Saccharomyces cerevisiae S288C: one gene and its partners. The protein of the gene in region 3 purifies or fractionates together with the protein of the main gene of each other region. This does not show direct contact. Each region holds a gene or a part of one and is shown on either strand. Other genes may lie near its edges. The genes, in order: CUE4, YPF1 and YET3.

The links.
Region 1: the proteins of YET3 (region 3) and CUE4 purify together in Saccharomyces cerevisiae (affinity purification with mass spectrometry, with the first as the bait; one large-scale study listed by BioGRID). This does not show direct contact.
Region 2: the proteins of YET3 (region 3) and YPF1 purify together in Saccharomyces cerevisiae (affinity purification with mass spectrometry, with the first as the bait; one large-scale study listed by BioGRID). This does not show direct contact.

What each region holds. Positions count from the first base shown.
Region 1 is NC_001145.3:69,074-71,643, reverse strand, and holds CUE4 (Cue4p), read left to right. Parts: upstream 1-1,555; coding exon 1,556-1,909; downstream 1,910-2,570. Other genes in the region: TSL1 (trehalose 6-phosphate synthase/phosphatase complex subunit), read right to left, coding at 1-1,020; YML100W-A (uncharacterized protein), read right to left, coding at 1,333-1,506; CAC2 (Cac2p), read right to left, coding at 1,944-2,570.
Region 2 is NC_001143.9:253,134-257,436, reverse strand, and holds YPF1 (aspartic endopeptidase), read left to right. Parts: upstream 1-1,976; coding exon 1,977-3,740; downstream 3,741-4,303. Other genes in the region: MTC2 (Mtc2p), read right to left, coding at 1-667; rRNA-processing protein UTP11, read left to right, coding at 965-1,717; protein kinase HSL1, read right to left, coding at 3,961-4,303. UniProt on the Saccharomyces cerevisiae protein: May act as intramembrane protease.
Region 3 is NC_001136.10:329,175-331,980, reverse strand, and holds YET3 (Yet3p), read left to right. Parts: upstream 1-1,533; coding exon 1,534-2,145; downstream 2,146-2,806. Other genes in the region: BDF2 (Bdf2p), read right to left, coding at 1-957; AHK1 (Ahk1p), read right to left, coding at 2,414-2,806. UniProt on the Saccharomyces cerevisiae protein: May play a role in anterograde transport of membrane proteins from the endoplasmic reticulum to the Golgi. May be involved in invertase secretion.

The DNA of each region.
Region 1 (2,570 bases), on a different chromosome or scaffold from region 3:
CAGCTCCTGAGATGACCTTAACAGCGCATATTTCTTAAGTTTAGATTTATTGGAATAGCCGCCGAACTTTGGAACCTTGTAGTCCTGCTTCGCGTCATCCATTTCCAAATCAGAAACATATTCCTCGTCAGGGGCAGTAGTTAGATCATCCGGGTCCGACTCATTATGCTGCGAAGACGTCTCACTCGACGAAATATCTGCTAACTCCGAATATTTCAGATTAGAAGGCTGTTTAGCCAATAAGGGACGCTGTTTTGCAGCAGACGCAGTCAAGTGGGGCGTAATCCTTTTAATGGAAGGTGGCGCAGAAGACCCAGAAGATCCAGAGGAGGCCGAACCTTGTTTGGTCCTATTAACTAAAGAAGTAGCCGCCGAAGTAGGCCTGTTGCCCGCCCTCGATTTCGGGGTAACAATGTGGTTGTTGGGTCCTTCTAGGCTAGTTTGTGAGGTGTTGTTCAACAGTGAGTGCACTAACAATGACTTGTTGACGTTCTTTAATAAGTTGGTCGTGGGGTCCTGCTGTTGCTGTTGGATTGGCGAAGCAATTCTCGAACCGGAGTCATGCTCATGCTGGATTGGCGATGCGATGCGATCCGTGGGAATATTGGAAGAAGGGGAGAAGAATCGTTCCACGGAACCATTTTTCCGGGGTTTAAGCATAGTCTTGCTTGTTGGCGTATGTGAGGTAGTTGCATTCGCAGTCAAGTTTTCCATGAATATGTCCGAAGAGACAAGATCATCTAAAGTGGCAGTATTTGTCGTAGACGAGGCGCGGTTGAAAGCACTGGGTGACCTGGTGGCACTCCTTGAGATTGCTGGGGGGACACCTTGTTCTGGTGCTGGCGCGACCAATGATTCCTGTGAGATGTTGTTAGAAAGCGCACGTTGTTGCTGTTGGTCATTGGCCATAGCCTGGATGTTCACGAGAGATGAGTCCACCTGCGAGTTCTCAGGGAGAGAGGTGTCAAGCTCGAATTGTGGTTGGTAGGGCAAAAACAAAGATGCCACGATGAGAGCCATTGTGTTGATCTTGCGTTGCTATTGTATTCTTTGCTTTGTTTGGTTTTTTAATCGACGGGTGGGTGGATGTGCAATGACACGGTAGATCCTTATATTTATAGTTACATTAGTATTTATATTTAAGCTTGGCTAGACGGGGGCCCCAGGGTGAGTGTGCTAGCCCCTTGGTTCTACCCCCTTCTCCTTCCCTAGGTAACTGACACCATAGCCGCTGCCCGGACCCCCGCCCCTTCCTATCTCCCTTCGGCGAGGGCGCCAGGCCCGCCAGCCGGACTTAGACACTTTCGAGCAAGCAATCCCAAATACGCCATATCAAAATGCAGGGGCGGGGTGACCCGCTTTTCTCGAAATTTCTATCTGGCCCTCTGTTTCGCCCCTTTTACCCTGAACGCGATTTTTGAGCGAGACGAGAAGAGCAGAAATTTCGCAATAAGTTACTACAATGGTGCCCGCTTTAGAATAATAACTCGGGACACATTTATACATTCCCACACACACAGACGAGGCACGGCTACCCACGCGCACAAAAGTAAAAATGGATGGATCGACTATAGTGTTTATACTGACGATGGTGTGCTTGTTTGTTTACACCGTGAAACACAGGGGCGCCAAGCAAGTACCCTCGCGAACCGTACAGGATGCCAAACCGGCGCCCTCGGTCGCCACCAACGACCCTTCTCCGGAGCCAGTACCATCGGCTCCGGAGGAACGCGTTGCTCGGTTAAACAGACATGGTAGTGATCGAAAGAGAGCCGTTAATAGTGACATGGTTGAAATCGTGATGACGATGGCGCCACATGTGCCTCAGGAAAAAGTCGTGCAAGATCTCAGGAACACAGGGTCCATTGAGCACACAATGGAAAATATCTTCGCTGGCAAACTAGATTAGGCATTCTTATGTACCGCATTAAATATATTAAAAATCACAAATCGACTGGCGTAGGATGTATGCGCCTCTTTTTACTATCGCTACTATTGCAGGGGATCTTCTTCACCGGCAGCATGTTCACGATCCCACCTGCCTCGCGCTGGTTCTTAGCCGCTACCGCGCTCTCGTCAGTGTCTAGTGGCTCTGCATGCATCGCTGGCGGCTCTATCCTTGAACCGAATTGCGTTTCTGTGTCGATCGATACATACGAACAGAATCCGTCTGTTGATGAGATTAGTAGGGTCGAGCCATCCTCAGACCATGCTAAATCAGTTATGGGTGAGTAATGTATATTTCCCACAACGCATAACGGCTCCAATACATCCGTGTCGTACACGAGTACTTCGTTAGTCGTTGCTATGGCAAATACTAGCTTATAGGGCAGCTTAAGCACACTCTTCTGGCACGTTTCGTAAAATACGGGCGAGAAAGCCGCCATCAGCGCTGGTTTCTTCAAAGATGGGATTCTAATCGCAGGCCGGTTTTTAACGCCACCAGCGCTGTTCAGTATTCCAGATCTAGTATACACGTATACGCAGTTCGCGACTTCATCACCAGCCACCTTATACACACCACTGGGAATTACGACCAAACCACCACAAGGCGATATGCTGCATCGCCT
Region 2 (4,303 bases), on a different chromosome or scaffold from region 3:
CGTTCAGATTTGCCTCTTCATTTAATATGATCGACCTCTTGCTCTCTGGCTCCTGCTTCTCTTCCTCAGCCATACCAATGCTATTATTGGCTCTTGTATTAATGCTAGACTCAGTTGAACTTTCAAAATCCAAATATGGGGGTGCACATGCAAACCAGAATTTGTGTTTGAGCCAAGCGCCCATACGGAAAGACGTGGGCAGGAAGATGCGAGTTTTGGGAGCTGGTTTACCTGCTTCATCCCCATCCTTAGCGGCGCCTGAAGGCTGCACGGGATTATTCCAATGAACCACTCCTATAAATATACGTGTTGACTGTGCCTTCTCAATCGCCACTGTGCAATCTCTCATAATTTTTACTAATTTCGCTTGGTCTGGCTGTAAAAGAGAATTTATGTCTGGAATGATAACAATCTCAAATTCCTTAACATGTGTAGTTGCTAACGAGTCCAAGCTTGCAGTTGTTGAGTTCAGAACCGTGACCTTTATTCCTCCGCCCGGATAAGCGTCATTGATTGCCCTCTTCAGTTGTATATCACAAGTACTTGGCATCGAAGAGGCTAATTTTTCCTTTGAGACGCTGTCTCTATACATACATAGAAAGCTCTTTTTAGCTGTAACAGAAAACTTCAAACATGTCTGAAAATCCGGCAGATTATGATCGCCCATTCCTATTTTTGCCACATCCAATCAATAATTTTGCAGCTCCGATTTTGCAGGTGTTGCTGTTCAATGGAAGTAATCGTTGTTATAAAGGAGCACATCACCAAGTCCTCTAAGGCTTAAAGGTTTGTCGTTATGCACGTAAAAGATGAAATTTTTTTATGGCTAGATGAGCTCATCGCGATTTGAAGAAAAAGAGTAAAGAAAACAATGCTAAGAAACTACAATAAGAGCAAGTTGCATATCATCGAATAATACTAGTGGGGTTTTCTAGTTCGTTACAGCCAACAACAGACAAAAGATATGGCTAAACTTGTACATGATGTTCAGAAAAAGCAGCATAGAGAACGTTCTCAGCTAACTAGCCGTTCCAGATATGGGTTTTTAGAAAAGCATAAAGACTATGTGAAACGTGCTCAAGACTTCCACAGGAAGCAGTCCACTTTGAAAGTCCTCAGAGAAAAAGCAAAAGAGAGAAATCCAGATGAATACTACCATGCTATGCATTCAAGGAAGACAGATGCAAAAGGACTGCTGATCAGCTCACGTCACGGTGACGAAGAAGACGAATCGCTTTCCATGGATCAAGTTAAATTACTCAAAACGCAAGATAGTAATTATGTGAGGACGCTGAGGCAAATAGAGCTGAAAAAGCTGGAGAAAGGAGCGAAACAGTTGATGTTCAAAAGCAGTGGGAATCATACAATATTCGTCGATTCCCGAGAGAAGATGAACGAATTCACCCCAGAGAAGTTTTTCAATACCACCTCCGAGATGGTGAATAGATCTGAAAATAGATTAACTAAGGACCAATTAGCCCAAGATATTTCAAACAATAGGAACGCTTCATCAATAATGCCAAAGGAATCATTAGACAAAAAGAAATTGAAAAAGTTCAAGCAAGTCAAGCAGCACTTACAGAGGGAAACTCAATTGAAACAGGTCCAACAAAGAATGGATGCTCAAAGAGAATTGTTGAAGAAGGGTTCCAAGAAAAAAATCGTAGACTCTTCAGGAAAAATTTCATTTAAATGGAAGAAACAACGGAAACGTTAGATTTTTACCATCTATATAGTATATATAAGTGAATCAGGCAGACGTTCCGTAATCCTTCTTTTCATGTTTTATAGGATTACGTTTATAAAAAGTATTCACTTTTCTTAAGTGTCTTTTGCGCCATCAAAAAAAAAAGGATTTTGAGGCACCGGAAAAAAAAGAACCCCTCTCCGAATGGGAGTATTTAGGACAAGATTTGTAAAGTGCTCCCTTTTTGAGCAATACTACAGATCTATAATGGGGAACAAACTCATACACGATGGACAAGTATTTGAATTCATTTGTTGACCACCTTTCAGAGTGGTCATCTCGTGCCTTTAGGAACAATTCATCAAGCGCTAACCAAAGTGCGTCGAACAAGGAATTAGAACAAGTTTTTGAACAGATCAATGCTATAGTTGAAAACCACAATAACAAATTAACCACTGCCTTTGATAAGATATCATATCGCGTTGCTCACAAGATTACACACTTGGTGGAAAGCCATTCTTTAGTATTCAACTACGCCACTTTAGTTCTCATCGCAAGTGCTTTGGTCGTTATTGGCTCATTTACGTCTATTTCTTCTATTCCATTTACAGCTCTACCTCCTACGAGAGAACACTCATTGTTTGATCCTACAGATTTTGATGTGGACCACGACTGTCATGTTATCTACCGCGAGAATGACGAAGATAAAAAGAAAAAGAAGAAAAGCAAGAGGTTTTTCGATATGATGGATGAAAAACATGCGATTATACTGCCCTTAACTAGTGGCTGTACTTTACTCGCTCTCTATTTTGTGATCAAGAAACTACACCTAAACTGGCTAAAATATGTGGTGAAAATTTTGAATTTTAATATAACACTGCTAAATATCCCAGCTGGCACATTTGTCTACTCCTACTTTCTCAACTCACTTTTCAGAAACCTATCACATTTAGCTTCTTGGAATCCCCTGGTTGTTTTACCAAGGTATCGTGTAACAATAGCTGATGATAACGAAGACCTGAACAAGATAGGCGGGTTTGTTACCAATTTGAATTACAAAGATGGATTGACCAACTCAGTTGTTCACAAGAAAACATTGGATGAGATTGAAAAAGATCATTGGATGAAGCATTTTTACAGAAGAGAATTAGTTGAACCGAAGGATATTAAATCGAAGAGGCAGATCAGCAACATGTATTTGAATAGCGCATTAATTGTTTCGTTCGTTCTGTCCATCGTTTCTACCGTATATTTCTATTTATCACCCAATGATTGGTTAATATCCAATGCTGTCAGTATGAATATGGCTATTTGGTCCATTGCTCAATTAAAATTGAAGAATTTAAAATCAGGGGCCCTAATCCTAATTGCTCTATTTTTTTACGACATTTGCTTTGTCTTTGGTACCGATGTAATGGTTACAGTAGCTACTAACCTTGATATTCCCGTAAAACTAAGCTTACCAGTCAAGTTTAATACAGCTCAAAACAACTTCAATTTTTCAATACTTGGTCTGGGTGATATTGCCTTGCCTGGTATGTTTATTGCGATGTGCTACAAATATGACATCTGGAAGTGGCACCTTGATCATGATGACACTGAATTCCACTTTTTGAACTGGTCATACGTTGGAAAATATTTTATTACTGCTATGGTTAGTTACGTTGCTTCTTTGGTATCTGCCATGGTCTCCTTGTCCATTTTCAATACTGCTCAACCGGCTTTATTATACATTGTTCCTTCCTTGTTGATTAGTACTATTTTGGTAGCTTGCTGGAACAAGGATTTTAAGCAGTTTTGGAATTTTCAGTATGATACGATTGAAGTGGATAAAAGTTTAAAAAAAGCGATAGAAAAAAAGGAGAACTCTATAACTTATTCGACCTTCATCCTATCAGAATACTATAATGATGCCGACAAGTATGCCTTGCTTGGTGATGATGTAAACGAAAATTTTGACGATGATGAAGAATTCGTGCAAGAGGAAGATCTCAGTGACAGCTCTGAGGAAGAGCTTTCTGAAGAAGATCTCTTGGATGACGAATCTTCTTGAGCTCCAAAAGAAACGACAGCTCTTTTTACCCCTCCAGGGTTGTATTTATCTTCTAATCTAGGACAATGTTTGTAAAACCCTCTTTCTTTCCTTCGTGTCTCATGTCTCTCCATTTATTAATGTTCTTTTAAACTATGTTTTCTCACGCCTGTCCATTCGGTTCTCGTACGTTAAATTTTTCAAATTATTGTTGTATAATTATATAACATCTATATAGAATTTATGAACGTCCGGCATTTCGAATTACTCTCTCCACATCATCATTAAACTTTTCAAAGGCTTTATTGGAACTTGTGTTTGAATGTTTGCTTCTTTTTTTTACAGTAATTACCGTAGATGCATTGGGTGTGCTAGTAATCTTGATTTTGAATTTGAAGTTGCCTTTTACAAATTTACAATCGTATTCCACCACCTTTCTCCCAAATTTGTGATCTAGGTTCTTTAATTGATAGTCGATACTATTCTTGTTGAATTCATTTAATGTTAGCATATGCGCATCATCAAATGATATATTCGTTACATGATTCTTGGATGCCTTAGTAGCATTATTATGAGAAGAAAAG
Region 3 (2,806 bases):
TAAAGTCTTTGATTTTGGTTTGGAGTTTTCATATATATCAAACAAATCTTTTGATTTGGGTGGATGAATTGTTCTTTTGGGTCTACCACCACTGACGCCTTCTCTATTTCCGCTTTCCCCAATATTGTCATTGGTGGTACTAACTGAACGTCTAATGACAAGTGGGGAATCCATATCCTCATTTTTTTTCCGGTTTCTGCTTGTTTTCTTCAAGGCAGAAGCGGGTAAAACTCTTGGTGGCATTGCAGATAACTTTTTTTCAAAATACTTTTGAATCCTTTTAGCCATCGAAGAGATTGAAGATTCTGGACCATTAAAGTTTAAACAATTATCCACCATTGTTTTGAAGTCCGATGTGACTTGCTCTACTGAATGATACACGTTGCCCTGCAATTTTGTTTCAATTAAAGACAAATCCATTGGGGTTTGAACGTAGTTGAAATAATGCGGGATGTTCAAAGCAATAGGATCAACCGGCTTCAGAAACGGTCTAGCATCTTTTAATCGTTTGGTCGCCTTAATGGAGCTTAAAAGGTATTTACTTTGGTGTGGTGGTAGTTCCTCCGCTTCCATTTCAGCTTCCAACGCCGGCTCTGTTTCCCGTTCTAGGCCCAAAGGGTGCTCGGGAAAACTTTCCGGAGTGGATGCATTACTAATGGAAATGGGAGACAAAGTTTGGTGGGCGTGGGATGAAGAATTCAGGTTAGTGATACCGCTGCTCGCAAGTTTGTAATTTTCCTCGTGTCCATAGTGGAAGATATCCCTGAAGTGGGGTCCATCGTCGATACTTACCGCGCTGACATTACCGCTATCGTCACCGACGCCGACATTGATATTGTTTTTGTTACTACTACTCTCGCTGCTGCTGTTGCTGCTCCTGCTATTTGCAGTAGCACTCTGTGGTGCTGCCAGTAAAGCAGAATGTGCGTGTCTTGTATCCATGTTAGTACGAGACATAGCCGCCGAGGTTTATTTCGCTCAATCTGTTTGTTTCAGTTTTTCCGCGTTCTCTCTTTTTCGCTCTTTTCTGGCTACCGCGCCCGCCTTATATATAAAATCTCTTCCGAATAACAAAGTGGCCGAAACAAGCGCCAACGTCGACCATTTTGCCACCGTGTCACTGTGCACGAGCAACGAAAAACTGGCGTTGGTTGCGCCTCACGAATTGCTTGAGCCTCTTCCCAATATCATCGCGCATTTATTTGAGTCATTCTCTGCCGCTTTATTATTAAAAGTCTGTGTGCTATCAAAATGCTCTTGCTCCTGTTCACCCTCTATGCGTAAACACTTGCGCGTTTCTCCCTTTCTCTTTTAGCGTTGTTGACGTTGCACTCTTTTTTCGCCTCTTTCTTTTTTTAGCTAGAGGGTCACCCTGCCTGCTTCACTCCATTAAGGGGAAGAAGAGTGGAAAAGTGCCGTATATAACAATGGTATATAGCAAATCCCGATTTAGTAGGAAGATAGAATAGTGAGCTCTTCCAAGGTAACCACGTCACATTATACTCATAACCATAGAATTCACAGAATTGAATCATGTCATTATATTACACCTTGGTTTTTGCCATTCTAGTGGTGGAGATTTTCATGTTCTCCATTCTAGCCCTACCAATCCCTTCTAGATACCGTAGGCCTCTCACCTTACTGTTATTAAAGCCGTTCAAATCCTCCACAGTGCAAGTTGCGATCAAGTGTGTACTTGGGTTCATTCTTTTGCTTTTCATCGATTGTATCAACAGAGTGTACAGCATCGACAAAGAGCTGCAGTTAAGTAGCGCCTCTCAAAATAATGGCGCTATAATCGCTCAAGATAGAATTGAGGTTCTTTCTAGGAAATTCTTTGCCCAAAGGAATATGTATTTGACAGGTATAACTTTGTTTTTGACCTTTGTCGTCGTTAGGACTTTTGGGCTAGTCATAGAACTTTTAACCATGAAAGACATATACAGAGCATCGCCTCCAGTAGCCTCCAGCGATGTCAAGAAGAACGACTCTGTTACTGCCGAAGCTGCTGCTCAATCCGGCGCTTCCAAGGATGACCACGGCGATGAGAAAAATTTTGAACTATTGAAGAAAATTCAGGACATCGATGACGAAATTGCACGTTTAAAGGAGAAGTCGGAATCGTTGCAAGAAGAAATAAATTAGTTTGACGTTTTATTCCTTTTCTTCTGCACAGAAGTGTGTATATATATATTTATATATAGTCGATGTGCAAAAGCCTACATTATTTTTCTTTTGATTTTTATTTTTTTGTTCAAGTAGGTTCATGCCGACAGTAAATCCTTATGCCCTACCTAAATATAAACACCCAAATATATATATATATATATATATATATAAATAATAAAAACGGAAAGGAAATAGAATAATAATAATAATACTACACGTTTACGTATGTAACTCATTCTATTATTCAGACTTTGATATTAATAGAATTATTACTACTAGGTTTCCTCACTTCAAAATCTATAAATATACCGTCATGCTCTAATCGATTGGAAAACTCAAAATATTCTCTTACTGTAGCATTGAACGTCTCAATTAAAACACAGATTTTTTGTATCCTTGTTCTCAACTTCATATCTTGGATCTGCTTCCAAATTGTCACCTCCCGCCCCCCAGTAACTTTCAAATCTTCCACATTCTGATTACCAATTTTGGCTACATCTTGCTCATCTTCCATACATTTGCCAAAAATATTAAAATCAGGCACCGGTATCTCAAAATCTAGACCATTACCGCATAAGGTAGCTAAGTTTCTCGTCTCACTTTCGTTCTTAGCAACACTCGCAACCAAATCTTTCGG